Arabidopsis thaliana: one gene and its partner. The protein of the gene in region 1 interacts with the protein of each later gene in a biochemical or structural test. Each region holds a gene or a part of one and is shown on either strand. Other genes may lie near its edges. The genes, in order: DL1 and SFC.

Evidence for each region.
Region 2: the proteins of DL1 (region 1) and SFC form a complex in vitro, tested with the Arabidopsis thaliana proteins (one study listed by BioGRID).

Annotation. Positions count from the first base shown.
Region 1 is NC_003076.8:16,816,901-16,831,737, reverse strand, and holds DL1 (dynamin-like protein), read left to right. Parts: upstream 1-6,721; 5' UTR 6,722-7,201; coding exon 7,202-7,330; intron 7,331-7,697; coding exon 7,698-7,761; intron 7,762-7,857; coding exon 7,858-7,965; intron 7,966-8,052; coding exon 8,053-8,154; intron 8,155-8,238; coding exon 8,239-8,289; intron 8,290-8,414; coding exon 8,415-8,476; intron 8,477-8,649; coding exon 8,650-8,740; intron 8,741-8,835; coding exon 8,836-8,900; intron 8,901-9,097; coding exon 9,098-9,292; intron 9,293-9,544; coding exon 9,545-9,664; intron 9,665-9,732; coding exon 9,733-9,803; intron 9,804-9,942; coding exon 9,943-10,168; coding exon of another isoform or gene 10,169-10,174; exon of another isoform or gene 10,175-10,272; coding exon 10,273-10,323; intron 10,324-10,421; coding exon 10,422-10,650; intron 10,651-10,723; coding exon 10,724-10,863; intron 10,864-10,948; coding exon 10,949-11,077; 3' UTR 11,078-11,454; downstream 11,455-14,837. Other genes in the region: BG_PPAP (beta-1,3-glucanase), read left to right, coding at 570-1,778, 2,210-2,278; AT5G42090 (Lung seven transmembrane receptor family protein), read right to left, coding at 3,589-4,908; AT5G42070 (uncharacterized protein), read left to right, coding at 11,619-11,824, 12,168-12,413, 12,578-12,620; AT5G42060 (DEK, chromatin associated protein), read left to right, coding at 12,816-13,094; AT5G42053 (uncharacterized protein), read right to left, coding at 13,866-14,030; AT5G42050 (DCD (Development and Cell Death) domain protein), read right to left, coding at 14,806-14,837. UniProt on the Arabidopsis thaliana protein: Microtubule-associated force-producing protein that is targeted to at the leading edges of the forming cell plate during cytokinesis.
Region 2 is NC_003076.8:4,251,481-4,266,980, forward strand, and holds SFC (ARF GTPase-activating protein), read right to left. Parts: upstream 11,089-15,500; 5' UTR 10,539-11,088; coding exon 10,494-10,538; intron 9,830-10,493; coding exon 9,753-9,829; intron 9,639-9,752; coding exon 9,538-9,638; intron 9,256-9,537; coding exon 9,185-9,255; intron 8,974-9,184; coding exon 8,911-8,973; intron 8,444-8,910; coding exon 8,399-8,443; intron 7,999-8,398; coding exon 7,933-7,998; intron 7,838-7,932; coding exon 7,790-7,837; intron 7,688-7,789; coding exon 7,592-7,687; intron 7,515-7,591; coding exon 7,473-7,514; intron 7,309-7,472; coding exon 7,093-7,308; intron 7,020-7,092; coding exon 6,888-7,019; intron 6,758-6,887; coding exon 6,527-6,757; intron 6,424-6,526; coding exon 6,337-6,423; intron 6,250-6,336; coding exon 5,914-6,249; intron 5,687-5,913; coding exon 5,541-5,686; intron 5,454-5,540; coding exon 5,369-5,453; intron 5,149-5,368; coding exon 4,685-5,148; intron 4,576-4,684; coding exon 4,443-4,575; 3' UTR 4,067-4,442; and 1 more. Other genes in the region: AK-LYS1 (aspartate kinase 1), read left to right, coding at 40-159, 248-340, 456-572, 668-784, 882-944, 1,019-1,174; CRN (Protein kinase superfamily protein), read right to left, coding at 1,444-1,753, 1,840-2,735; AT5G13295 (uncharacterized protein), read left to right, coding at 2,473-2,756, 2,772-2,841; AT5G13310 (uncharacterized protein), read left to right, coding at 12,081-12,437, 12,754-13,509. UniProt on the Arabidopsis thaliana protein: GTPase-activating protein (GAP) for ADP ribosylation factor (ARF). Involved in the spatial control of provascular differentiation. Required for the formation of the normal pattern of continuous secondary veins.

The DNA of each region.
Region 1 (14,837 bases):
AAACTTTATTCATATGTTGGTGTGCTTTTACTTTATATGAGACAAAGCAATGTGTGGCGATGGCTCTAATTGGTGTTTTGAATCATTGGGTTGTATCTGGTTAAACTTTAAAGAGCCGTTCAAGGTCATCAACCTAGTTGGATTTAGTCAAATTCTGGTGTATTGGAAAAAAGACTAGTTGAAGCAAACAGGCTGTTGAAAGACATGAGTGGTAGATGTTCTAGTTGGTGTTCTGTCTCCATGTAGCTGTCTCAAATACCTAGCAAGTGTTGTAATGAGAGCACCGAGAGAGAAGAGGACAAGAATGATCTGTCATAAGAGAAGTGAGAATCCGAGAGGAAGCAAAACAAGAAAGATGCTCTCTCCTCTACTGCTTGCTCCAGAGACACTGACTTCCAGCTCATCCAAACCAACATTACTCTTTCTCTTTCTTCTTTTCAATTATTTCTTTATTACTATTTCACTTTGAAATTTAGTGAATCCTAACGCTCTGGTCCCATCACTGCCTCCTCTATCATCTTGCTCACAACCACTCACTACGCTCTCTCTCTCTCTCTCTCACTTCATCTATGGCTTCTTCTTCTCTGCAGTCTCTCTTCTCTCTGTTTTGCCTTGCTCTGTTCTCTCTTCCTCTCATCGTCTCCTCCATCGGCATCAACTATGGCCAGGTCGCTAACAACCTTCCTCCCCCTAAAAACGTCATCCCTCTCCTCAAGTCTGTGGGAGCTACAAAAGTCAAGCTCTATGACGCCGATCCACAAGCCCTACGTGCCTTCGCCGGCTCCGGCTTCGAGCTCACCGTGGCCCTCGGTAACGAGTACCTGGCTCAGATGAGCGACCCTATTAAAGCCCAAGGCTGGGTGAAGGAGAACGTCCAAGCTTACCTCCCAAACACCAAGATCGTGGCCATCGTAGTGGGAAACGAAGTCCTCACCTCAAACCAGTCAGCCCTCACGGCAGCCCTCTTCCCGGCTATGCAAAGCATCCACGGTGCTCTGGTGGATTGTGGCCTAAACAAGCAGATCTTTGTGACGACGGCTCACTCACTAGCCATCTTGGATGTATCCTACCCTCCCTCGGCCACTTCCTTCCGCCGCGACCTCCTCGGCTCCCTCACTCCCATCTTGGACTTCCACGTCAAGACTGGCTCACCAATCCTCATCAACGCCTACCCTTTCTTCGCCTACGAAGAAAACCCCAAACACGTTTCTCTCGACTTCGTACTCTTCCAACCAAATCAAGGCTTCACCGATCCTGGCTCTAATTTCCACTACGACAACATGCTCTTCGCTCAGGTCGACGCAGTCTATCACGCTCTTGACGCTGTCGGCATCAGCTACAAGAAAGTTCCCATTGTCGTCTCCGAGACCGGATGGCCTTCCAACGGTGACCCGCAAGAAGTCGGAGCCACCTGCGACAATGCTCGCAAGTACAATGGGAATCTGATCAAGATGATGATGAGCAAGAAGATGAGGACGCCTATACGACCTGAGTGCGATCTCACCATCTTCGTCTTTGCTCTCTTTAACGAGAACATGAAGCCTGGACCAACCTCCGAGAGGAACTACGGTCTCTTCAACCCTGACGGAACTCCGGTTTACTCACTTGGGATCAAGACCTCTTCCACTCATAGTAGTGGTAGTGGTAGCAGCAACTCCACTGGTGGTAGTAGCAGTGGCGGTGGCGGTAACACTGGTGGCTCTTCCAGCGGTGGTGGCATCTATCAGCCAGTCACGGGTAACCCATCACCGGATTACATGTCCATTTCCTCCGCCGGGGTAACGTTTTCGACTTTACACTTCATTTGTTGTTTTACTTTGACAATTTTCGTAGACATTTAGGACTAGAAGGTCGTTACTGTTAAGTTGCATATTTAGACATATTTTGTCACTCTATTTATCTGTTTTGTTTCATTTAAACAATAAATTTAGTGGTAAAAGAAAAAAAAATCACAAAGCTCGAATAAGGAAGGATTAACATTGTGGTAAAGTTAGTGACTTTTGGTTAAAAAGTTGGAATCTTTATTATAAACTCGAAAAACTGTGACAATGTGTTTTGGATTGGTTATCACGTGGAGATGACTCTTGTTTTGTTACTTTTGTCTGAAAATATAATTGATTTAGAGTGCCTCACTTTTTGACTTGTTGACCTCTTGAATAAACGAATTAAAGGAGTGTGACATAGGCAATGCTTGTTGACGTTTTTGCAGGGAAAAGGCAGATTCGTTGAGTGTGTGTTGTTCTTCTTCTTGCTTTGCATCATCAAGCTTCGGTTGTAAAAGCTTCTCCACTAGATCTCGTCGGCTTTGTACTTTTACTCGGTTGATGACGTGATATAGCCCCCAAATTTAATTTAATTAGTTTTGTGTTGGTGTTTTGGTCGGAGGATGATTTAGGAGACATACCATCTTTGTTGTGCCGACCTCCTCTCCAACTCTTTTTTTTTTTCCTTTTCCATTCTCCTTTTTCTTGTTTAAGCATAGATTATTTAAATAATGAATCTTAGTTGATTAGATTTTTCTAAAGAAGATGATGATTTTCGATAATTGTATAACTTGAAGACATTTGAGGCCAGAGTAGTGGCAGACAGAATCTTGGCACAAGCAACAAGTGCTAATTTTTTTTTTTTTTTTTTTTAAATATTATTAATCCTCATCCCAAATGGGCTTGGGCCGCAACAAAAACAACATCAAATCCAGTTACAAAATTAGCAAATCGGAAAACATGTCGGCAAAGAAGGAAGATCGCCGCTTGTTGATGGAAGCTAGCAGAGAGACCGGAGCATTAGATCCGGCGGGCTCAAGCCCTACAGTTTCGAGGCCGCAACCGATGCTCGAGAAACTCCGACGAAAGAGACCGGTTTTCGTCCTCGAATCAACCCCACCGGCGCACCAACCCACCACAAGACTCCCAGAAAGCTAGTCCCCCCAACAAGCACATCGACGGCACCGGATTCTGAAGAAGCAATCCGATACACTGGACGGTAACCCTTCCTTCCCAAACCGGTACAGATCCGGTTTTTCAAGGTCCAAAATATGTATTCCCTTCAATAAATCACCTCCGCATTCGTACACCTAATTTCCGCCAAACTTTTTGTATTTATGTGACCAATCAATCTCTATGGTCCACCAAACATTCAATGTTAATCTCTTCCACCTCCACACACTATACCAATTCTTTCGTCTGTCACTTCAGACAAAGATATAAATACAGATCCAACAAGGCAAATAGTAGTGAACAAAGTTTGCTTCCTTAAGCAACTTTTCTAATCAGCCATTTTGTCTATCAAATGAAAAGCAGAGACTCAGATTAAGTATAACGAGCAGCACCAAGCGTTTTATGTTACCAGTAATACACATACTATGCATTGGGGGACAAGACATTCATAGAGTCTATATAAGTATCCTAACAATTCAAGTAAAAACAAAACAGGTATTGCATTCTAATAAAGATAACAAGAGGAAAAAACCAAAGAAGAGAAGGCGGTTTAGCAGGCAGCTGATGATCCGGTTTACTCTCAATCATCCTGTCAAACAAAGTATGTTTCTTTTTACTGACTCACACGTGACACGATTATTCCAGTGATGACTTACAATTCAAACTCGTCTTCAAGCTTCAGAGCCTCAGCAGCAGCCTCTTCTTCCTCATCGTCAACAACAAAGTACGGGTTATGCACCTCTGGCCTGAACTTGTAGCCAGTAAACAGATAGAAGGCAAGTGTGGCTAACTCGCTGGCAACAACACTAGTCCACATATACTTGTAAGAGGTAATGGTCTCCAGTGCATACACAACAACACGAGTGAAGTAGATGTAGCAGATAACCACAATGTAGTACTGCCTAAACAGAGTTAACTTAACGAGGTTCACAGCAGCCTTCCCGTCAGTCTTAGCCGCCTCACGCAAGTTTTTGATGGACCAGACAATGGGAAACAGAACAGCACAGCAACAGACGACATCAACAAGCAAAAAGATCTGTTTCCACGTGACCCAATCTTGGCCATACGGTCCAGTCTCATCGATAACCACCTGAGCAAAGTTAGCGACAACCTGGAGAGGAATGACAATCATCAAGACCTTCTTTTCCTTGTCCTGCAAGTAGGGCTTCAAGAAAGACCAACCGGTGCCGATCAAGACGATCAAAGTGAAAAGAGTGATACCCTTAAGGAAATTGAAAATGTAGAACAAGACATCCCAACCATGAGCAGTTCCAGTTTTCTTAATGTACGACTTATCCTCAGCCTCACAAAGAAGGTTCAAAGCTTTCAAGACAACAACTCCCAACATGAAGAAATGGATTGCGAAAACAGTGAGACGTTTCTTATAGAGAACGTAGATCCACGTGGCGGCGAGAGAGAAATAGATAACAGAGAATAAGAAATAGACCTTAGGAAGAACAGTTCTTCCAGCAGAGAGATAATCACGACCTCCCTTTTTACCTTCAAGGTTATACATAGCGGATCTAACATCCATACTGATTTTGACCTGTTGGAGACAATTAGCGAAGACGAGAGAGTACTGATCCGCATCGTTCTCGGTGAATACGGTGGAGAATCTGCTCTTATCTCCTCCCTTGAGATTGTTGAAGGTGAACACATGCTTAACGAGATCTGATTGTAGAGCGCACGTGATCTCTTCTTCTTCAAGCTGTTGGATCACATGAACCCAAGCGTCTCTAGTGCAGAGAAAGAAGCCCACTTTGGAGAGATCGAGATCGGGATTGCTGTTGGAAAGCCAGATCTTGGAAGCGTCAAGCTCAAGACGACCGCTGTGAGTGAAACCGAATTCGTCTAAAGGGATGATTGGACGATCATCGGATCGGATCTCTGATTTACGAATCTCAGCCGAAGCTATGGAGATGGAGATCAAGAGAAGGATAAGGATCGATGAGAAGCGTGAAGAGAGATCCATGGGAACTAGGGTTTCGTTCTTCGACTTCACAGAGAGATTAATCTGATCTCAGATGTGAGATCCAAAGCAAAATCAATCCAACTTGTTCTTCTTCCGATGAAAACGGTTGTGTGTGACCAACCAAATTAAATTAGTCTTTTTTTTCTTTCTAAGAAACAAAATAAATACCATTATTTTATTAGCAACAAGAGAACCCATTTTCCTTCATCATTAAGGGAATAAACCATCTTTGACGGATTAGTTGATTTCTAGAAACAAAAATTTCACCAATTCACCGATTCCAACCGAATGGCCGGCGTTTCCAGTGTATTTGAAGGAGTTGTAGAGTGATAGGGAAGAATTCATAAATTTCTCTTTATCTTTAATTTCTCGTAGTGCAAATGTAAAAGCGGATAAGTTGGCACGAAAGATTCGTACCGTACCGCATCATGTCACGTATGTAAACAATATCTCTCGGGATTGGATCTTTTGAGTTCAAATTTATATCGGTTGACAAAAAAAAAAAAAAAAAAAAAAGGAAGAAATTAAAGTATTGATGAATTTCGTTTTGAATTGGTCGGAAATTGGATGTATAAGTTGAGAACAAATTATCCATCAATTTAAATCATAAAATGTTTTTCCGAATGACTTTTTTTTGGAGATGTATTATTTCTAAATGTTTTTACGGTTTCTTTAGATCTCGTTCAGATTGTATCAACAAGCGCGAAACCTTCATTAAACATAAATGGTATACAAAGAAAGCTTAAATACTAAACCGGAGAGATATTATCTATTTATAATAGATTGGTTTGACTGTTTGAGTGTCTATGGTCTAACTCTTGTCCTCTCTACACAACCCGACACTAAACCAACATCTTCCACTCACATATGACGAAAAACATCAGAAAGTAGTAGAAGAGTACTCTTAGAGATTTTGTTCAAGAATCGCAATTCGAAAAAGTTACACTGCAAATAAACCGTGTGACCCGTGCAAGTATATGTGCTTTTGGAAGCTAAATTCATGCAGCTGCTACGGAGACATACAGTCTACATACCTAAATATATTACATAGCATGTCTCACTCCAACCTCATTTGTATTTCATATTAGTCTCAACATATTCCCATAAAGCATATGTTAAACCTATTTTACATCACGTTTTCACTAACTTCAAAATTCTAATTTGAGGGATAGAAGTTGGTCACATGATACATATTTGTTAACGTATGAACATCATAAAATCTAACAATTGATACAAGAGTATGTAGGATACAAAGTTACACGTTGTGTTTGTCTCAAACAACATTAGTAACATTTTTTAAAAAAATTGTGTAGACAAACACAACATTAGTAACATTTAAAAAAAAAAATGTGAACCGGTTTATTTTTTCACCACTTAGCTGGAAAATAAATAACGTGTATTTGCGTAAACAATACATAAGGTTTAAAAATGTGTTAGTGCTATGTTTTATACATTTCTAAAAAGCGTTTGGATCTCACCAACCAAACATAGTATTTGCCAAAATGCAAACGCTATCTAAAATCGATGTGACATTACTAGTCAGATTTAGTGGGTTTGTTCTAGAAAAGATCTTTATTTTATACATTCAAATTTTCAAAACTACAGTTATTTTGTTGTTTAGTGTCATCCTTTTGAATAAACAATCATAATCCTTAACGTCTCTTATCTTTTTTTTGAATCCTCAATCTATGGACCGTTTGAACTGCAATCGTAATGAGGATGTTCGTGGTCCACATGAAATCACTTTACTCTACTAATAAGTGATAGTTTTTTTATTCGAATTTTAACTCGTTACATTCTTTTACAAGAAAATCGACCTTGTTATATTTATTTATATGGTTGGTCATGCATGCAATAGTATTATCATTACTTTACCTGGTTAGAGAGATGTGGAATATTAAGGGATTGGTTGAATATATACGACACACCTCGTCGTTTTTATTTTGTTTTTGGTCAACTCCTCGTCGTCTTTGAATTCTCGAAATAAACACCATGCCGTTTCAAATTTTCTTTGGAAAAGAAAAGACCCTGTATTGGCTTTTATATAAACCGCTTTCTTCCCCTTTACTTTTTCCCAACACTAGCAAGCAAAAATTCTTCATCGACTCAAATTCAAAAACTCATCTCTCTCTATCTCTATTTCTCTGGTTCCATAGCTCACCGTCGCATCGCAGATCTACTCCTTCCGCAATAAATTTTACCGGCGGAGGTATCAGATCTCGCCGATCTGTTGTAGCAGCTACTGTATTTTGGGCTTCTCATTTGATATTGGGGAAACGAGGAGTAGAGGACGATGGAAAATCTGATCTCTCTGGTTAACAAGATACAGAGAGCTTGCACGGCTTTAGGAGACCATGGAGACTCCAGCGCTTTACCTACTCTTTGGGATTCCTTGCCTGCGATCGCCGTCGTTGGTGGTCAGGTTTGCATCTCGATCTCCTTCCCCTTCCATTATATGCTTGACGATCTATCTCACGATTCGTTCGTTTTTTTTGCGATTCGGAATTGATATTGAGCTGAGGTATTCGGATAAATTTGCCCTAAACTTCGTTGTTTTTGCTTATCAACATCCGGATCGTGAGGAATTATAGTTTAATAGCTTCTACTATGAACTAGCTTTGCAAGCAATTGGTATTGAGGAATGTTGACTTGGCTTTGACTTGGATATTTTTTCACTAGTTGGTCTTGAACCATTTAATTTAAGCTACGATTGTTGTGGAGAGGGGTTTCTGTACTTTGATAATTCTATGTGGCATTAAGTTTATGTTGTATCCTTATTGTGTTGACAGAGCTCAGGGAAGTCTTCAGTCCTGGAGAGCATCGTGGGAAAGGACTTTTTACCCCGTGGATCTGGTAAATACAGTGTTAACACTTCTTACTTAGTTTTAATTATGAAATTGCTTATTTCCTTGAGTAATGACAATATGCATTTGCGGTAACTATTTGTAGGCATTGTTACTCGAAGGCCCCTTGTCTTACAGTTGCAAAAGATCGATGATGGAACCCGGGAGTATGCAGAGTTTCTTCACCTCCCGAGGAAAAAGTTTACTGATTTTGGTGGGTTTCGGCTATCTCAATTTGCAGTTCAAGTTTCACCTTCTCCTGTATTCCATTGATATTTGATTAATTTAATCACCTCTATAGCTGCTGTGAGGAAGGAGATTCAAGATGAGACTGACAGAGAGACTGGACGCAGCAAGGCTATTTCTAGTGTTCCCATTCACCTTAGCATATACTCTCCCAATGGTAAGGACAACCCAAAATCTCTTTCCAGTTGTATGTGCTTTTTGTTCATTCTCTAATTTTTTATCCTCTTTACTATGTGTGCAGTTGTCAACTTGACACTGATAGATCTTCCAGGGCTTACAAAAGTTGCTGTTGGTAAGTTACAGTAGAGCAAGAAGTTTTGGTCTATTTTTTCTAGCGATGAAGCATGAGGCAATAGACTTTATTCTCTACCATACATAATTTGGCATGACACGACAAATTTCTTTTGGTTGATGCAGATGGACAATCTGATAGTATAGTGAAGGACATTGAAAACATGGTTCGGTCCTACATTGAAAAGGTAAATGAAAATGCTTACTCCCAGACCCTTTAATGTTTTATAGATAGCTATCGCCAGTTTAAATTAGATTCGGTAATATATAAGTATTCTCCCTATATTTGTTATGTTTTCGTAGCGCCAAATGAGTTGACACTATTCTGTTTTTTTTTTTATTTAATTAAATTTCCTTATAGCCCAACTGCATCATTTTGGCAATCTCACCTGCAAACCAAGATCTTGCTACCTCAGATGCAATTAAAATTTCCCGTGAGGTTGATCCATCGGGTGAGCATTTTACAAACAATTCATTTTTCCACCTAAGAGACCCAACACATTATTCTGTCATCCTATGTCTCTTATAATCTTGGTGATCTTCACAGGGGACAGAACATTTGGTGTCTTGACAAAGATTGATCTTATGGACAAGGGGACGGATGCAGTGGAAGTAAGTTGAATTCCCAGTTTATAGAACATCTGTACTAGAATTTCGAATTACTGTGAATAAAATGTGTTGTAATTAGTCTATGATATGATGTTGGAGCTATAAAATGCTAATTTGTGTAGTAACATCATAATACTTATGTTCCCTCATTAATGTTTATTGCGTGCACCGCTACTTACCAAATGATATTTTTTGCTCAGATTCTGGAAGGGAGATCTTTTAAACTTAAATATCCGTGGGTTGGTGTCGTCAACCGTTCCCAAGCAGATATTAACAAGAATGTCGACATGATTGCGGCTCGGAAAAGAGAGAGGGAGTACTTTTCCAATACTACTGAGTATAGGCACCTTGCTAATAAAATGGGTTCCGAGCATTTGGCAAAGATGCTCTCCAAGGTACGTGCTTTCACGAGGCTAGGGGTAGTTTTCTTCACCAGGTTCTTTATAATAAGTAAGTTGGCGTTGTGAAATTTGTTAGGAGTGGTAAATAAGAGTTTCAGGGCCAGTGTTTTCACGATTGCTGCTAATTTTCTTAGCAGCCGACAGAAAATACTAAGAAACTACGAAGTTATGGCAATGCTTAGCACGTTTCTCTGTATAAAACCATCAGGACAGAGCCTAATTGCAACAATTTTATTTGTTGCGCAGCATCTAGAACGTGTGATCAAGTCGAGAATTCCTGGCATTCAGTCACTTATTAACAAAACAGTATTAGAGCTGGAAACTGAACTAAGTCGCCTTGGAAAGCCTATTGCAGCTGATGCAGGGGTAAATTGTGTATTCTTTTATTTTTGATTGAATTGCGCTATCAAGATTTACTTAATGTTCTGATGCAGGGGAAGTTGTACTCAATAATGGAGATATGTCGGCTTTTTGATCAAATATTCAAAGAGCATCTTGATGGAGTGTACGTTTTGACTCTTTTTACTTCAAATGTTTAAGATTACACCATGAGTTGTTATAGCGTCTGAGTTGATATTTCTACTCTTGACCTTCTGAAACTACAAAAGGAAAATTGTAATTTAAGACTATGGTTGATTACACAGGCGTGCTGGTGGTGAAAAAGTGTACAACGTGTTTGATAACCAGCTTCCTGCGGCTCTGAAGAGACTCCAATTTGACAAGCAGCTAGCGATGGACAACATCCGGAAGCTGGTCACTGAGGCTGATGGTTACCAGCCTCACTTGATTGCTCCTGAGCAAGGTTACCGTCGTCTCATTGAGTCTTCTATTGTCTCCATCAGAGGCCCTGCTGAAGCATCTGTTGACACCGTATGAACTCTTTACTTTCATCTCTAAAAAGATGTATCAAAAACCTAACACAAAACAATAAGCTTCTCTCTCCGTTTTTTTTTTTTTCTATGGTTAAATATTAGGTTCATGCTATCTTAAAGGATCTGGTTCACAAGTCTGTGAATGAAACTGTGGTACGTTCTTTTTTCTTTTAGTAATATATATATATATATATATATCTCCAACAACTAGTACTTTTGTACAATGTTATAGACGGTTTGAACATGTGCAGGAACTAAAACAATACCCAGCTCTGAGAGTGGAGGTGACAAATGCGGCGATAGAGTCGCTGGATAAAATGCGGGAAGGAAGTAAGAAAGCAACACTGCAGCTGGTTGACATGGAGTGCAGTTACCTCACTGTTGATTTCTTCAGGAAACTTCCCCAGGATGTTGAGAAGGGTGGTAACCCCACACACTCCATTTTCGACCGCTACAACGATTCCTATCTCAGACGAATCGGTAAGGTTAACCCATATAAATAAATAATTATCTGGTACCGTATATCTCACAAATTTTAGACATTTGGCAACAGGATCCAATGTTTTGTCTTACGTGAACATGGTCTGTGCTGGCCTGCGGAATTCAATCCCCAAGTCCATCGTATACTGCCAAGTCCGAGAAGCGAAGCGCAGTCTCCTCGACCATTTCTTTGCGGAGCTCGGTACCATGGATGTAAGTGCTCTCTGCCTTTTTTCTTAACCTAAAGAAGTGTCATTCGGGTAAACACTGAGTCAACTAATATGGTGATATCCAACAGATGAAGAGGCTCTCGTCGCTATTGAACGAAGATCCAGCAATCATGGAGAGACGCAGTGCCATCTCAAAGCGGCTAGAATTGTATCGAGCAGCCCAATCCGAGATCGATGCTGTTGCTTGGTCCAAGTGATACCGGCATGTCATGTCCACTGTTTTGCTCGGTTCTGGTCGGTGTGGCTCAGACTCGGAGCAGAGATTTAGGGTCTGTAATTTGTATAAGATGATCTTCCCGATACCATGCAGTATCGTTTTATATAACATCCACATTGTTTGTCCTACCTCTATGTTTTTTGTCCATCACCCGATATGTTACGTATCGTTTTATAACATCCACATTGTTTGTCCTGCCTCTAATGTTTTTTGTCCATCACCCGATATGTTACGTATCTTTTATAACATCCACATAGATTAGATTTTCTCTATTCCCTTTATTTAATTACTATAAAATGTATTTTTCGCATATGATAATTTTTCTGTAACAATAGTATAATATTAAACATTCTACCCAAAAAAAGAGTATAATATTTAAATATGATTACCAATAAGAAAAAAATTCTAATAGTTTAAAATAAAAATTTGTAATGTACTCTTTTTTATTTTGTTTTGCGTTTCTGAATTTGTGGCCATTATCTTCTCACACTCTCTTCTCTTAGCTCACAGAGGAAAGAAAAATGGCGAATTCCATTTCATCAATATCTCTGCCTCGATGTTTCATCTTCAACAATGGTAGTCACAAATCAAGGCCATGGCCAAGCTCAAGCAGTTTCTTTCTCAACAAATCATCAAAGCATCATCCTCATCCACTACTCTCTCTTTCTTCTTCGCCGTCTTCCGTCGTAGAAACTGATAATGACGACGACAACGACCTCACTTTCAGGTACCCTTTTGCTTCTCTTCATCGATTCCATTGGAAAGCTTAAACCTTTCTCAGCTAATCCAATTTCGTTGACATTAAGGATTTTAGAGTTAGTGATAGATTAGGGATTGCGTAAATGATGAAATCATAGAGACTCTTTTCTGCTGTTAACTTGTTAGTGTTATATGAATCTTCAATTTTGTTACACTAGTGAATCTCTTAAAATGATTCTCTACAATAACTAACCTCATAAATTTCTTTGTGGTCTCATGTTGGCTTGAGCGATTGGTTATATTGTCATTTGTGAATTGTGATGGATCCATCTCTCTATAGTCAATAGATCATAACATGAGGAATGAAACAGTGGTTGCAGAGCGTGTGGGAAAGAAGAGAAAGAGAGTGGGTGTAATGGTGACGGACGGATTCAAGGTGGCATTGCAACTGTCCCCGGTTTCGGTTGGTGGCCAATTAAGGCTTACAGGCCTTGTCCCGCGTTTGTTGAGGCCGGAGGTAGATACCGCCGCATAGGGCAGAGCATGGACGAGGTTGCATTTGGTCGTGGTGACTCTAAATCCTCCACTTCTGTAGACACCAGTGATTCACTACTACGGTATGTTAATGCCTAGTATTATTTATATACACTTACAATCAACAATGAAACAAATTGGACCGCAACAAAAACCGTCTTTTGGCATGTACAAGAATGTCAAAATGGGTTTGAGAACCTTGCAGAGTAATGATGATCATGTTCTTCTCTCTTTGTTTGTTTTGCAGCCAGACAAAGCCAACAAGTTCTAGCAAAAGTTCAAACAAGTGATATATAGCCCAGTTTTTCAAGTCCAAGAAGAACTTTTTTTGGAAATGTGTAATGATGATTGGGCCTAAACATATTATCGGCCCATTTATAATTTTACGGCTCAATAGTTAAGAAACCCTAAAGAAGGTTTTATCACTCGTAAGAAAAAACAAAACAAAAACCCTTTGGTTTCTCTCTGTCGGCGAGACATCATCAATGGAGGAAGTAGCGAGAGAAGAAGTAGAGATCGACAAGGATCTGCGGAGGAAAATAAAGAAGACGGTGAAGAAGATCTTGGAAAGTTCGAACTTGTACAAGATAACAGAGATTAAGGCGCGAGAAGAAGCTTCACTTAAATTGGATCTTGATCTGTCTCAAGATCCTTACAAGGTAATCGTGAAAGAAGAAGTTGAAAATTTCCTCGAAGAAGCAGTAAAGTTGATCGGCAATAAACTTGCGATGCTTCCCAAGAGAATAGAGTCGACGAGTATTTAGATATTATTAATCTAAAAGTATGTCGATCCAAAATTGGATAGTTTTAATGTAATTTCCTCAAAGATTGTCTCTGTTTGTTTTTTTAATAGTGTTTCTGGTTCATGGAAGCTAATGTTTTTGTCCGATATGAAACATGTGTCTAAGCAATAAGACAATGTGTCTGAGGAATTTGAGCTCTTGCAAGAAAATTTGCAGGACACCTCTTCAAACTTGGCTTGCCAAGTCCTAATGTGTCGAATTCAGTTACAGATTCTGAAGTTGATGGCACTATTTTTTGTTCAGGAAAAGAGATACTTGTCTGTTATTACCTTGGAAACACACCTTTCGATAGCCTTTGCTCCAGCAGCTGAATATTGCAAATAATAGATTAGAGCTTGTAATTCGCTTTCCAATGGATTGTTGACTGTGTTTTATACTGATCAGACCGTGGGTTAGCAAGATTCCAACCATCAGGTTTGCACACATCAGGAATGGTAGCATTAACGGCAACTATCAAGCTTCTTGTCCCGTCGTTACCAATAAATTTGATGAGTGGACCAAAGGCGGTCCAGTTATCAAACCAAAAGCTACCAATGTTACACCTGATAAATTTCTCAGCCAACACTCTCAAGTCTCAACCTTAGAATACACTTCTAGTTCCATGAATCAGCAACCCTTTCAGGGTTCCAAAAGCTTGTAGTTTTGTTGCAATTGTTATGCACTATTATTACCAGTTCGTATAAAATATACATAAATGCCGATAATCTATATAAAAAAAAAAGAAGGTTAATCTTAATTGGTGAACAAGTGGCTGATTGGTCCAAACACAAAGTCAGCAAAAGTTTCAGCCCATCGAATACAAAGCCAACGTGCACCGTTAAAGCGTGGCACAATCTGGTCCGCGTAATTAGCGTCGAGACGAGTCCATGTGTTTGTTTCCACTAAGCGTGAACGCATATTTCAAAACAAAGACCAATTCAAAGTCTTCTTCATCTCCCCCACATTAATATCTCCAGTCTCCATTTACCTACGCCACGTCGTGAGATTTTCTTTTAAGTTGTGGATCTATTTCTGACATTTTCTCCTATGGTTTATAACAAAACTAATGCCGACGAACAAAAATTAAATATTTTGATGTTTTGATGTTAACACTTTTATTGTACACTTTTTCTTAACGTGCTTTTCTCTAATCACTTTTGCTGCTTCAACTAATCTTTCCCACATTTTTTTTCCCCCAAACCATTGCCTTCTGTTCTGGATTCATTTTAATTACTTGTTGGAGAAGTTTGTTGTTTGTTACAACAAATCTTTCATGAAGTGGCCGGTTTATTCCGACTAGTATAAATGAAATTCAAGATAGAATTGGGCAAGAAGTGAATAGGAGCAATAATAAAAATATCAAACACAAATTGATAAGAGTTCATCATCTCATTTCTCCCTATTTTTGGGGTTGTACATATGTTATTTTATATAATTTACAAAAAGAAAAAAGCGCGGAGATGAGATCTATTCTTCATCCACCCACACAAAAATAGCACATCTTCTATTTATCCCATATCTCCTGGGAATATACTTAAGAAAGAAACTGTATAAACTAGTAAAATACCATTTCTTCAGACAATTATTATTAATACTCCTCCTTATAATCATATATGTATAATGGGGTATCTCTCTCTTTCTGGATTTGAAGTAACAAACCACTGTTTTGTGTTCTTCATTGGTATTACCCAATTCAAGGGTTTTGGTCAGCAAAAATGTCCAATA
Region 2 (15,500 bases), about 13 Mb from region 1:
CTCGAGTGGTTAAGTAAGGAAATTCACTTGTTGCTGCAGGTCTTGCACCCACAGTCAATGAGACCAGCAAGAGAGGGTGAGATTCCTGTTAGGGTTAAAAATTCTTATAACCCTAAGGCTCCTGGAACTATCATCACTAAAACAAGAGACATGACCAAGGTATATTGTCTCCTAATTGTGTTCTTTTATGAATCTCATGTGAGAACCTTCATAGCAAACAATTTTGTTTTTTGCTTTTTCATGACAGAGTATTCTAACGAGCATTGTTCTGAAACGTAATGTGACCATGCTGGATATAGCAAGCACCCGAATGCTTGGTCAAGTTGGCTTTCTTGCAAAGGTAAGGATGTACACTTTTTCATTGGCATGGTCTGAACTGTGGGCTGCTCCACCCTGTGGTCGTTTTGGTGTTGTTAATAATCAACACTGCCTGCTTGCCTCACTCTTTTTACTAGGTATTCTCGATATTTGAGGAGCTTGGCATTTCCGTAGATGTTGTTGCCACTAGTGAAGTCAGTATATCTCTGACACTGGATCCTTCAAAACTTTGGAGCAGAGAACTGATTCAACAGGTAAGTTCTTGTAGAATCCCCAATACGTGATTCCCAATTCATTTATGCGTGCTTTTCAAAGTCCTTTTTTTTTTTTTTTTTTTTTCTTGTTACAGGAGCTTGATCATGTAGTTGAAGAACTGGAGAAAATTGCAGTTGTGAATCTTCTAAAAGGAAGAGCAATCATCTCTCTAATTGGGAATGTTCAACATTCCTCCCTGATTTTAGAGAGGGTTAGATCTGGTCTCCTAATAAGATTACTTCAAGATTCTAACAAAGAAAGATATATTTCTTGTGCGCTTCTTACTTAATTGTTTTAACTTTGGGCAGGCGTTTCATGTTCTTTATACCAAAGGTGTCAATGTCCAGATGATATCACAAGGAGCATCCAAGGTAACATTGCTTATCACAAAACTCTCTTTCCGTTCTCACCTAACATATTCCTTTCTTGTTTCAATATCTCGCAGGTAAACATTTCCTTTATAGTAAACGAAGCTGAAGCTGAAGGTTGTGTTCAGGCTCTTCACAAATCCTTCTTCGAGAGCGGTGACCTCTCAGAGTTATTGATACAACCCAGACTTGGCAACGGGTCACCTGTCAGGACACTGCAAGTAGAAAATTGACTCGACAAGCTTATTGCTTGATCTGTGTTTTTCTTTGTATTCCTTCTGAGTGTAGTATGTACGTTCATCAAGCACTGCTTGTTGTCCTACGTTTAGGAACGGGAACTGCTGGCTACCTTTCGACTGTTGTAAGACCAATTTTTTGTACCATTTGCGTGATCAAAGTTAAACCAGTTACTAGCAAGAATAAAGAAAAAAGAATATATTGATGCAACTGCAGATGTCTGGATTGGTTTTACAGAGGTTTTGATACATGTAAGTACGTTGGGCTAAAAGCTGTGCAGTTGTGTAAGCATGTGGACAAGCTCATCACTTGAAGGCCGGTCTGCCGGAAAGTCAGAAAGGCAGATGATGGTGATTCTTAAAGCCATTAACATTTCGTCTTCCTCCACTTCCTCTCCAAGAATAGTCTTATCTAATGCTTCTCGTGCTTCCCCAGACTGTTGTAAATGTTTCAGCCACTGTCCTAAGCTACCTCCGCTTGCAGACTCTTCGCAGAACGGGTGGGTCGGGTCTCTTCCGGTTAAAAGAACACCCAATATCATCCCAAAGCTGAATATGTCGCTTTTGTCTGTGTATCTGTCACAAGGATTTGCATTACCGTGTTAGTAAAAGAGATGAAAAAGGAGTTAACTCAAAGGCTATGGTGTTGATATTTGAAGCACCTGTTACTTTGAGAGGACTCAGGGGCAGAGTAGCAAGATACCGCTGTGTGTGAACTAGGCATGATCTTGGCCAATCCACAATCAGCAAGCCGAGGCTCAAACTCAGAATCCAACATCACATTTGTAGGTTTCAGGTTATAATGAAGAATCTGGGTCTCACAACTGAAATGAAGATACTGAAGCCCTTTCACAATTCCAACTGCAACTCTAAGCCTAATCTCCCATCCAAGCTCTACCTCTTTCGTTCTAACTTTATTCATCACATCCTCAAGGCTACCATTAGGCATGTAATCATAGACCAGAGAGAACTCATCAGATTCGCGAACATAAGCTCGTAAACTCATAAGGTTCCTATGCCTTAACCCAGCAAGAAGCTCAAGTTCCTTCTGCAACCTTCTCTTAACCGACTTGCTACTACTACTTTCTGGTGAACCAACTCCTTCAAGTGAGCCTAGTCTCTTGACTGCAACCACTAGACCATTATCAAGAACCATCTTATAGTATTTACCATTAAGGTCAGAGCCAAGCAACTGAATACCATTACTGAGAGCTGCGTGGAGAGATTTAGGAGTAATCTTAGGAGAAAACACCACTGGACCTTTGAGAATTGGCGTCTGTTTCATGAATTTGACAATGCTACGAACCAAGAAAGCTAACACCAAAGCTGAAACCAACCCTGTTAAAATCCCTGAGACGATACTAATCACAATAACCTTGGAAGTGATTCTTGATTCAAGTGGTGTAGATGATGTTGAAGTTGTGGATAAGTGTTTAACAGTTCTTCTACGACAACTTGTACTTGTGCTTGTTCTTGAAAAGAAGACTAAGAAGAATAATAAGAGTAGAGAGATAGTGTTGCTACTACTACATCCATTTCTTCTTCTTCTTTGCTTCATTGCTGCTTCTACGAATAAAAGGTTTTTCAAGATTAGACACAATCTGAGAAAACCCAGAAAGGTGAAGCTGTTCAAAGCTTACATAAAAAGACACAGAAAAGTTTAAGACTTTTTCAATGCTACAGTGAAGCCTCTTCTCCCAAAACCACAAATATTCTCGAGAAAACCAATGAGAAACCACCAAGACAAAAAGGAAAATGGAATTCAACTCAAAATCTTCACGAAGAAGATGAATTAGAATATCATTGGCTCATAGATTCTTATCTGAAATTCTCACTCTTTTCCTCCAAAATAAAAATTGAAAATTTAAAGGAAGCTTATTAAAAAAAAAAAAAAACCCCACAATTTTCTTGATAAGGGGGGACACAAAAGTATCAAACTTTGTATGGGTATGTCTCGAAATAAACCCCAAAACTCAGTGCTAAACCCAAAAAGAGAGAGCAGAGAACAAACTTCAATGAGGGGTTTTCACAATATTACTATATCTGTGGTTGAAAGATGAAACAGAACAAACAAAACTATCCAAACTGTTTCAGCTCAATTAATCCCAGTAACCAAACACACACACACACACACACACACACACACACACACATAACACACTCTCTCTCTAGAACTCTCTTTTCAATACACAGTATCTGCGAGACCGTGACACACTCTCTCTCTCTCTCAGTCTCTCTCTCTATCCTCACAAAAAAGCATGACCGAGAATCCGTTACTTACAGCCAAAAAAAAATGGGGTTCCCGCCTTACAGTGGGGCCCACGATGTCAGGTGGTCGTGGTTAGACTGGGTCCCATAGCCACGTAGGCGGATGAAAGGGGAAGCTCTCGTTGCTTTCATGAGTGGCCGAAAGCAAGACATCGAGTACCGAGCTTGAGGGAAGGTAAAGACTAAAGAGAGCTGAAGCCAAAAGAAGATCTTGTCCGTTATTTAGATGCGGTTAGTGAGATATGGACCGTTGGATAGAAGAGAGTCTCGAGAATTTGTGCACTTTTGTCTTAGCGTGTGAGATTACTACTACACCTACAAAAGTGGTTCCTTTGTTTGTCTGAGAATAATTGCTTTCTCTTCTTTTTCCTTGTAAAAAATTATTATATTTTTTTTGTTAAAGGTAAAAGCTTTATGCTGTAGTGCTTTTATTCAAAGTTAGGTCTTGTTTTCCGATTTGAACCACATTCCTTTTTATAAAAATATCTTGGGTTGAAAAAAGATTAGCCTAATTGAAATGGTAACACTATTATCAAAAGACTCAAAACTATGAATGTAATGGGAATAAGTGGACCAATATGTACTCTGGTCTGAAAATTGACAATTAACTTTCAAACTTGGGCCTGGTTTAACACGTAAATTATCTTAGTTTTGACACAGATTCAAAACCAAAATCGAGCCACAAATTAAATACGTTAATACGAAGTGAACAAAACCATAAGTAATTGCTTACAAGTTACAACGTCTGGACATGACAAACTCAGGATGCTATAGTCCCACATACACACAACACGACACAATACAATACACTATAATTTCCCAATATGCAGCCTATATCCATCCATCACAAAAACATCAATACAATACTTAATTGGGGGCTAAACTTGCTAGAGACCATTAGAGGTCCTTCTTTAGTGTTGATTGGCTCTTCAGACCGTGAAAGCAACGATGAAACATAGCTCCGGAATTTTTATGTCCGCAAGCCTATGCATCTTTATCAGCACTGTCTGTGATTGTATCCATTTGTGTCTGAAAGGAGAGCAAGAACTTCTGGATCAGTAAAATTTGACTCTGCAGCAATATCAAGAGCGGTTTTGCCTTCTCTGTTCATAGCTTCCGGGTCTGCTCCCCTGCAACATACACACAACTTGTGTGAAAACTTTTAACATTTCCAAAGGATTTAGCCAGAGAAAATGTTAGGGACATTTTGGATAAGCGGATCTAAGAAGACCAACTCACCTAGTGAGAAGCAATCTTGCTATTGTCACTTTTCCTCTGAGAAGACAACAGTGCAGCGGCGTTTGACCACTTGAATCTGAGGCGTTTACATTTGCACCATACTGCAGCAAAAGCTCTACCATCCCAAGGTCTGCCTTCTCACAAGCACAGTGAAGCAGAGAGGAACCTCCGCTTCCCTCAGGAGATATATTTGAAGAACTACCTGTTCTATCAAGTAACTCATTTCTTAATCTGAGTAGAACATCCTCACGCTTTGGCCTTTCTGGTACTAATATTACTCTGGAAAGTGTTAACGAAGAACTGGAAGTTTGGTCATACACATAATTCACATCCGCATCACCATTGACAATGAGCCGGTAAACAGCTTTTTTATCATTGCCACTCACTGCGTCCCACATTTGTTGTGCAGCTGATTGTGGGAAATCGCTGTCTCTTGATCTCCGAACAAATAACTTCTCCGCATACTGTGGAATGACAAAAAAAAAAAAAGTTTGAATGAGCTTTCCTGAACATTGCCTATGACCGAGCAACGAGAGAATGCCTCGAAAGTAAATATTTTCTACATGCTCAATGAATATTTGAAGGAACAACATACTGGGAAGAAATAAGCACGCCCTCGAGAAGAAAAATAGCTTCATTTATCTCCAACATAAGGAATCAAATAAAGGGTAGAAGCTTAAAAACCTTAGCTTGTATATACTTCTCCTTGATAGATATCATATCAGCATAGCTGGGTTTTCCAGTGACCATCACCCTGGATTTATCAGACCTGCACATATTTGGCAGAGTAATTTTAACATTATGATTTCTAGGTGATCAAAGTTATCATCACTTTCAAACATAAATGGAGTTTTACACTGTTAAGCCGGGGTCAAAATGGATGGCGCTCCTTGAATGAAGCAATTCCTCCCAAACTGTGTTTGCGAAAGTATTTCCAAGAGCTTGGAACAAACTTATAACAGATGGCTCCCATACTTTCACGTCGAGAGTGAGTGACCTAACCTGTAGCAACAGCCAACTTCAGATTGCTGTATAACTTATGTCAAATTGAAGGCCGAGCCATCCAAAGTTCAAATTCTATCACATGCTCTATAATCTGAATTGCTATTGAATATAAGCCTAGTGTCACTTCAAAATTCTCATGGACTTCTTTACGTCCTTCCATAAGTTGGTTGTTATAGAGCCTACATATATTTTCTAAGCAATTAAGAGTTCTGGAGATTTTTTACCTTAGATATATGCACACCAAGATTACGGTGAACACCAGAACATTCGATACAGACAAGAACCCCCAGATTTAAAGAAGCCCAGTCTGGTTCTGGAGCTCCACAATCCGCACATTTGTCATTCCCACAGACCTTTCGAAGAGCATCAATGGGCTTCTCACCCTTTCTAATGGACCGTTGCGGCTGAAAACTTCTTGATGGCCTTTCATTGTACCCCAAAAAGCTCCTCTCACATACAAATTCTTCAGTAGTAGGATGATCATATTCAGAACTTTCATATGAGCTACTTTCACTAGCAGATCGATGGTGGCCACTTCCCATGGGACTACCAGGAAGACGCTGAAATGTAGCCGATGGACAATCACCAAAGTTGCATTGGTATTTAATATGAGCCTGGTCAGGTAAAGGAATAATGATAATACTTACCTGTTCAGGGACCTGAGAACTAAGTAGTGATGCAATAACCCCAGTGATCTTTTCTATCCAATCCATTTGATCGAGTGCACTCTCAGCCTGCACTGACAAACATAAGTAAACACTGAGTGAAAACTATTAAACTTGGGCAAACATGTATACAATAAAGTTTTAAGGCAGTAACAAACACTCTGAATCAAACCTGCAACGTGTAGTTTTTTGTAGGTGATATGATCCTAAAGCAAAACCTCAGATCTGATTGATCAGCGTCGACTTTAATTGTTGAGGTGAGTAAGTTCACTGTATGACGAGCTACAGACTTCTCATCATGGACACCACCATGTCCATGATTATTCGAAGAAAGCCACCTACTAAGCAGTCCAGACCCAAGCTCGGAGCTATTTCTCTGTCCAGAAAGCTGGCTTCCAGACCCCTAAACATCAAATAATCTAAGTCAGAGTGTGAAAAGAATGGGTCAAATAGATTTTTACTTTATGAACACCATACCGTTTGCATAATTCTGCTGTTTTCAAATAAAAGATAAATATAAAACCAAAACTCACAGATGGTTTGCTACACTGTTTTCGGTAATAATAGAGCATTCCCCGGCTGTCAAGAACAAAAAACCTTCTTTTCCAGTCTCCTCTCAGGTTTGAAGATCGTTTAGAGAGATAACCTTGCCTTATTGTTTGCACCTGAAAGCACCAAGAAATGTTAATAGTACTCTCTGGAAGATGTATCAATCATATGTTAAAGACGTTGATCAACCTTTCCTCTTGCAGCAGATTGCATTACGGCGTCTATCATTTTGTGAGAGCTTCTACCGATTGCTTGTATGCCATCTCCATTTGGTGATCCATTAGAACCATTTGAACCCCACCTGCTCTCTCGATCAACCTGTCTTTTGTACTCCTGCATCTTTTCATTAAGTGCTGCTTGTTCATAATTTGATCTTTCTCTGGATTGTTGCGCATATGTCAAGACCTACAAAAAAAGAGTTGATGTATAAGTAGTTTTCTAAATGCTACTATCTCCGCGTTTTCAACACATGTGAAGATTCATACATAGTCGTAGAAGAGAATTATACATAAACCCCAAATATTTAGGGATCTATCACTTGAAGAAAAGGAAAATAACATTAAACCGACCTGATTGATATATGGTTCCATCTGATGCAGTAATTCGTAACCCTGAAAGCAACCACGTTTAGATTTGACACAAACCTTTCCAGACTATTTTATAATTCTAAGCAGCATAACAAACTTACCTGTTTGAAGTACCGAAGATGTGCATCCATTGTTCCACTGACTGCTTCCAAAAATTCAAACCTTTTCTTAGCTTCAACATTTGATAGAGCAGTCACCTGAGCATAAATTAGGGAAACCAAATGATTACTTCAACAATACTACGTATGGACAGCAAGTATGTAGATTTGAACACTCAAGATCAAACGATAGAAAATTACAAGGTTGAACCGAGCTTGCTCAAACATAGACCTCGAAGTATGAAGTTCCTGTCAGTGTCAAAATATGTTAGTTACAACATAGAAATAAAAATACATGGTTATCAAAAATCAGAAACGAGCTTTACTAAAATCATGCACCATACCTGTTCTAAAGCAGCAGCAACGTCACTTTTTGTACCTTTCCTCAAAGATAAAAACTTCTCACGGGCCTAAAGCACAATAAGAAGTTAATTAGTTAATCGTCCAGATAAGTGGGAGCCGTGGACCCAATATGCCTCTCTATTTCTATCAGTTATTTTCCAAGCTACAAATGTAGCATGAACAAAAAAACTAGCTAGGTTTCTGCAAATTTATACACTGCCTGCACGGAAACTGCAACACATATCATAACTTTGAAAAAGAGGAACCCTAGCGTTCCTCCATTAACGAGGAATGATTCTAAAATATTTGAGCTCGACCCATTTTGTCTGGTTGAAACTTTTCATACAGATTTACATCTAGTAAAGAAAAGAGTCAGGATGAGAACTTTTAATCTTTCCAAAATATCTTTTGTAGTGCAAACCAAGTCAGCGGAGTGGGGAAAACAAAAATCCTTGACAAAAGGGATACCTGATCGTAGGTAAGGCTAGCCTTGTCAAAGCGCTTCCGAGCTTCCTGTGGCAAAAATGATCTCTCAGGGTTCCATATCCAAATATAACCATGTCATGCTAGCCTACTATAAAAATGGAAAAAGATATATCTGGACAAGCTGACTAGCCACAATGTAAAGGCAGGCTCAAGAAACTTAACCATATTTTCCGCAATCATCAGACCTTATCTACATTAATGACCTCAGAAAATATTCACAATTATATTTTGTTTGGGGAAGGTTGACCACATGAGTGATAATTAGTTCTTTTTTTTAGATTTCTAGTGCTGCAAGTCAAACCAGAAGAACAAGACCTAATGTCCATATTAAATTAAATGCCTCTTGGCAGGTCTTCATATTTTCTCTATTCACACATGCAGAATATTTGTCCTCCATTGTTTAATAGATATTCTAGTCAATACTAATACCTCAATGATGCAAAGTTAACTCAAAACATGTATATCAAGCCAATAATAAAGGAAGCAGCTTGTACCTTAACTTCATGCAAGTCCATATTGGCAAACTGAAGTAATCTGTCATTCAGTATATGTTCCACCTGACAATGGAACTCATCAAAATCAAAACCTGGATTGAAATGACTTGATCTGCTCTAAATCTATATGATGTCTTAAGGTAAAGCAAACTATAAAGAGGCCATTTTTGCTGAAGGAAAACAAAGCTATCCTACGTTGATACCACAGGAGTTATCAGAGAGAAGGCTGGGAATAGGGAGAAACAGAGAGTGTCAAAATAGCAAACTAGCATACCTGTGACCGAAGAACTTCCTTATAAGTCCCAATTTCCCTCAACGCAATTGTAAATTTCGTCATTACCGGTCCTGGCACAGCAAGTTAGAGTTTGTCAGCACTTTTAACAGCAAATTGTTAACATTTCCACCAAAACCAGTGAATCTAACAACCCTAGCAAAGAGAAAGCGAAGAGAAAGAGCGGGAACAACAACTTCCCTCATAATTTAAGGCCACTATCAGTATTTAGTGCTTAAAAACGAAATTATGAATTCTAAAATGGAAAGTGCCAAAGAATCTCAGATGAAAACTGCAAAGATTATGGGAATAAACAGACAATATGCTACTGCGAGTTTCCATATAATCGGTCATACCTCCAAAAGCCACACTTATTGGATCATTATGGCCTCCACCAAATGTTTCAAGTGCACTTGCGAAAGCAATGTCCCCATCGTATGCCTCGCCTAGTCCTTCACTGTAAAAAGAAAGAATAATCTATCGCTGTTAAAAGATACATGTTTCAGCCAGAAGAAAACTCTAAATGTAGAGCTACAATCCTAATTAGCTGTGAAAATTTGAACTAGCATACGTGTATTTCCGGCATCCTTTGTAAAACTTGAGACTTCTTTCCCGCAATATTTCTGCGCTCTCCTCCATGCTTTGTAACTATTTAAGAAAAAGATATCAATGTAAGAACGCAGCTGCGGAAGGAAAAATACATAAACGCAAAGAAAACAGTAAAGACACAATCCAATTATGGAAGAAACTGCAACTATGGATAACCCCAAAGATTGAGTGATTCAGGCACTCTATATAGGGGCAAAAGAATCATCAACTTCAGGCAAACAGAGCAGTTGTTGGACAGAATTTGAGCTACACTAGGAACTTCCTTAGCATTTAAGTTGAGTTAGATAGCAGAAGTCCTACTAAACCAGTGAGCATGAAAGTAGTAGCTAAGTGGACACAAATGTATCCTAAACACACGAATCAGAGACCCAAACAAGTGCACTGGATCATAAGTCATTTCACATTTCATGGAGCAACAAGTTAAAGCGCGAATAGGCCGTCCAGATAAACCAATTTCTTAGTGACACATTAATTCGAACCTTCCAGTGAAGTTCCACTCACATTTTGGAATATAAATGTCGGTGGACATTCAAAATTCCAGACACAACACATCCTAATGGCTCCAAAATTAGTATCTGTTGACAACTTTTGAAGAACAAATCTCGCCTAATATGACCCAATTTTAACCTACGACACTAAAAGACTGGACACATCAAGACAAGCACACATAGACAGGAACCAAAGATATGTAGTAGAAACAAACCTGTTTGCGGAACATGGGAGAGTCATCAAGCTTAGTGAAATGCATTTTGAGCTAATTTATTACTTCCTCTTCTTCGACACAAACAGCAATTAACATAACACGAACACACACACCAAAAACCTAAAAGCTAGAACCACCACTATGTCTCACACAGACGCCATAAACGAACAAAAACGTGAGATCCTCTCCTCCCAAAGCTTCCCCGAAATATCCAACAGAAACAGAAACCGATGATCTTCAAAGTCTCGAGCCAAGCGTAATTTTGAGCTGGTGTTTTTTTCTCGCGAAATCGAGAGAGAACAAAACAAGAAAACAGTGGGGGTGTGTTTTTTAGATGAAGTGTCTCGGGAGAAGAGAAGAGACAGACAAATCAAAGAAAGGAAGAAAAAAAACTTCACCGTCTTTGTGAAAATTTTAACCACAAAAGACGGCGAAACTATGCCGTTTTAGTTACCGCCGGAGATCGTGAAGGTTGGTAAGATACGACGTCGTTTCAAGTGTAAATTTTTTAAAGAGAGGACTGACTGTGCTTTTTCTGTAACAGTGGTCATCTGAGAAAACAAGGACTCTGGCTAAAATCCACTATATCCACGCGCCTTTAAAGCCCGTGTAGTATTAAAGAGGCTGGAAATTAGGAGGCGCGTGTAGTAAACGCGATTCTCTCGAGAGTATTAATAGAGAGGGGAGAGTGGGACCCGTTATCTGGTTGCTTCTCCATTATCTTTTGTTCCGGAGAGACAGAGAGGCCAGTGGGGTATAAATGATTCCTTTTAAGACATGTTTATTTTATTTTATATGAAAATATCTTTAAATATAAAAAATTGAACACTTATGATTACTTTCTTTTGGAAAAAAATTGTTAAAGCAAAAAGAAAAGTGGGAGAAATTTGGAAAAAATGGACACGATGATCTTACTTTCTTTTGCAGACTTTACAGTCGCATATGATTATTAAAATACATTTTCTTGGTTTCAAAATCCTTATTGTTTAATGAAATGTATGATCTCTTGAGTCTTGTCCAGCTAGTTCAATATTGTTTAATCATAACGATAATCGTCTTAAATCTAGGTTAAGATCTTTGTTCAACTGGTAAAACTAAGACATCTGCAATTAAAAACATAATAATGAACATTATGTATTACTATTAACCAACATTTAATATGGTCTTCTAATCAGATTTTCTCACATCAATTTTCTTTCATCTTTCTCACAACATTTATCGTATGTTTTCTCTCTCAAATGATTTCCGACATATGGCTATCAATCTAATGTAACTTAGATCTCTCTTTTCCTTTTTAGACTGTCGCATCTTTCATTTCCTTATTGACCTCAAACGGCCTACGGATACTAAAATCCACTTTAGCACACAACCAAAAAAAAATTAAAAACTGTATAGAGGTAACAGTGACTAGTAGGCCGATATTGGGCCAAGAAGTAGGAAATTCCATTAAGCCAGGCCCATTATAAAATGCCCATTTAAAATTTGTTTTGTTATAGGATCACACGAAAGGCGGTCTATTATTTTGTTCGTTCTTCGTTTATTCACAGCAATCGATTTGTGTGTGTTTCAATTTCTAATAGCTTCACAATGGCATCGTCTGGATCAGCCGACGAAGATTTCCAGTCTCGCGTTGCGAAGATCTTCGGATCTCTACCCTTCTCTCGTCCTTCGTCTTCCAAGTTTTCCACGTCGTCTTCTGCTCCGGCGTCGCGGCAGCAATCGGGGTCGGTGTGGACTCTCTCCGACACAGAGGTAGAGAAGCGGGAGTGGAAGCGAGATTCGTACGATAGAGACGAGATTCCTTGTGCTTCATCCTTTGACGAGCTCTTAAAACAGCAGAAGCCTTCCGAGGATGATCTCAAAGATATTGATTGCGGCGAGGATTTTGATGGTGTGTGGAGTATCAGAGCCTCCATGGGCCTTGATCGCACTCTCGATGACGAGGTAAATCAATTTTGGTCTCTTAACGATTGTTTCTCATTGCTTAGCTAATTGAAATTAGGGAACAGTGTTGGTCTTTTCTCTTGGATTTGGTAGATTCATATGAGAAGAGCATTGAATTTTTAATGTAGTATCATATTGGTTTGTGTGACTTATAGAGTTTTTGTACGTGAATCATCAACCTATGTAACCAGCTTTAAGATTCTTGAATTTGAGTTTTTCTTGCTATAACTATATGTAGCACATACCGTATTATGAATAGGATGTCACTTTCTTTGATGCTGAGTGTTGTTTCCATGAATTATGCTTCTTAACACAGGCAGAGGAAGATGAGTATGATAAAGTTGCACTAGGGGAAGAGAATGACGGTGAAGGCTGTGGGCGGATTCGGGATCCTCGTGCTAACTATGTTGCTGCAAGAATTAGGCTGAAGGAAGATGAAATTGAGGCTAACAAGTTTAATACTTCTGCAAGTCAACCTTCGGAAAGCAAAGAGCCACACGCAGAAGAATCATCCGAAGCTATGCCGCGAAAACCTATACTCAAAAGGAAGGAGAATAGTTCAGATTCAGAAGCAAGGACAAGTAAGCGAGTCAGGTTTGATTCTGTGCCTGAAGAAACATTGAAGAAGCCTGAAGATACTTGTTCAGCTTCTGCCTCGTCAAAAATCGTATCTCATCAGGGAAAAAGTGGTGCTCGGGTACCGGATTACTTGCTAAATCCTTCGAGTTACACCCGTTACAGCTTTGATCCATCTTGTGAATTGGATGTGGAGTCCCCAACAGGAGAGTACATGGACACTCCCAATGCTGTTGAAGGATTGAAAAATCCAGAGTCAGAATCATTTCCAAAAGTCTCCTTTATTCCGCAGAATAAGACCAAGGACGTAAGTGAAGACAGTAGTAACTGTAATGAGACGAAGCCTATCGTAGCTGGAGAGTTGGCAGAAGAAGAGAGACCAAGTGCAACAGAAGATGGGGATACTGAAATACGAGAATCAGAGAGCTGCACCAGTTTCCAAAGCAAAGGTCGTCAATATCGTGCCAAGCTTAGTTTAGATGAAACAGATGTCTGATCTTTCACATACCAGTTTGGTTGGAAAACGCTACACAGAGATGAAGTTGGGGTCCATGAGATACAATCATGTAGCATCTTTTAGCCGCACATGTAAGATATTTTTAATTCCTAGACTTCTTTTTTACCCAATTTAGAGACTGTATTACAGCGAATGTATGGTAACATAGTAAGAAACTGTTTACCTTTGAGACTGGTTGATAGTACACGCAGAAGAGAATCTAAAGCTACCTCAACTTCCTGGAAGCTATCTTGATAGATTCCAGTGATGTTGCCACAAGTTTTGATTCAACACTAGTGAATCGTTTCTGGGAAGATTCCAGGGTTAAAGAAAGACATGGTTTTGAGCAAGCAATTTATAATTATGAGCAGGTGAAAGTCTGTTGATCTGAGAAAGAAGGAAACACCTCTTCTTATTTTCTTTTTGATTCAATTCATCAAGTTTAGTATGACTGCAGATTAATCAAATCATGGATTCCAATTGTTTGCGTTAAAGATTTTTGCTTAAAGCAAAGCTGTCGTTAATTGAGCAATTGCTTAGGGTTGTTCCTTCAGTTCGTGAATCTGTTTTTACGGGTTTTCAGCTTATGGTTTCATCAAAAGACCACTCGTTGTTGCAGTGTTTTTTAAACATTACACATGTCTTTCCTGACAGGAGGAGAAAGTTCTAATCCGAAGACAAGACTGGTGTGAAAATTTCTGGTTTGTTTTAGATGAGATGCATATATGTATGTATGAACGAAAACAGAGAAAAAAAATGGGAGGGACGGACACAATACTGCTGTTGTTGAGCCTTAAACGGCTTTGACAAGCTGTCTTTTTTCCTTAATACTGTATGTGTGCATAACTCATATACCACATTCATCATTTTGTGTAACTTGCTTAAAGATCCATTCCATGGATAGCTCTCTTAACTATGGCCTCTTGTTTCTGCGTACGGATGCATTTATAAAATGTTGTTTTTTCATTTCGCTAATTTGACATTTATGGTAGATACGTGTGTTTTTGGAAGGACACACCAAAATACTAGTAGACGAAGACACCAAACCCCACTTGGTGTGCATATCAAAGTCAGAAGATGGAGACTACTTGGAAGTTTATTTGATCAAAACTCGTGTTTGACGTTGTAGCTTATTAAGAAATGACTTTTAACTCTCAAGGTTTACCTGGAACATCGTTTTCTTTTTCCAGCGAATTTCTGGGCAAATATCCCTCCAGGCCCACACTTCATAAGCTCCATTAAATTATAAGTTTTTAATTTTATGTCAAACCCAAACCGTTTTGGTTGTCTTTAATCCGTTAAGAAATTTCAGGGCAACTAGAAGCAATCCATAAATATTATTACGATTACAAAATTTGCTTAAGAGGATTAATCAAAATATTTTTGTGAAAAATATTTCAAATATTAACTTTCATTACAAATAAAGGATTTTTACCCCCCAAAAAAAAAATAAAGTACTTTTATAATTAAACCAAAATATTATAATTACCTAATTATAAATGAATATTTTATGATTATCTTACATAAAAGATCGATGTTTACAAAACAAATCATTTTCAAAAGAAAAATAAGTACATTAAATAATAAGATCCCCTTTGATTTATGGTTTATTTAGAAAGTCAAAACGCGAAAATGTTCGAAAATATTATAAAGCCATTTATTCAGTAGATGTAATGTCTTATACGGCCCGAGAAGCGGATGCGTTCCGCGTAGCAATTGCTCGGGCTTGCATGGACGCTACTTAAATCGACACGATTCATACTATATTGTCTGTCAAATCGATAGCTCGTGGGACGTATCAGATTCATTAAGAGGCGATGGATGGCTTGTCCTTTCTCGCTAGAATATTGCCCTCCTCGGGTTAAAGAGCTACCACAGATAAATGTCACCCTACACACATAGTTCGAATATCTCTTTTGGGCAATAAAATGTCATATTTTGTCCTCTTTAGCTAGTGTGATTTTTGAGACATAATTGTAAAGATTTAATTA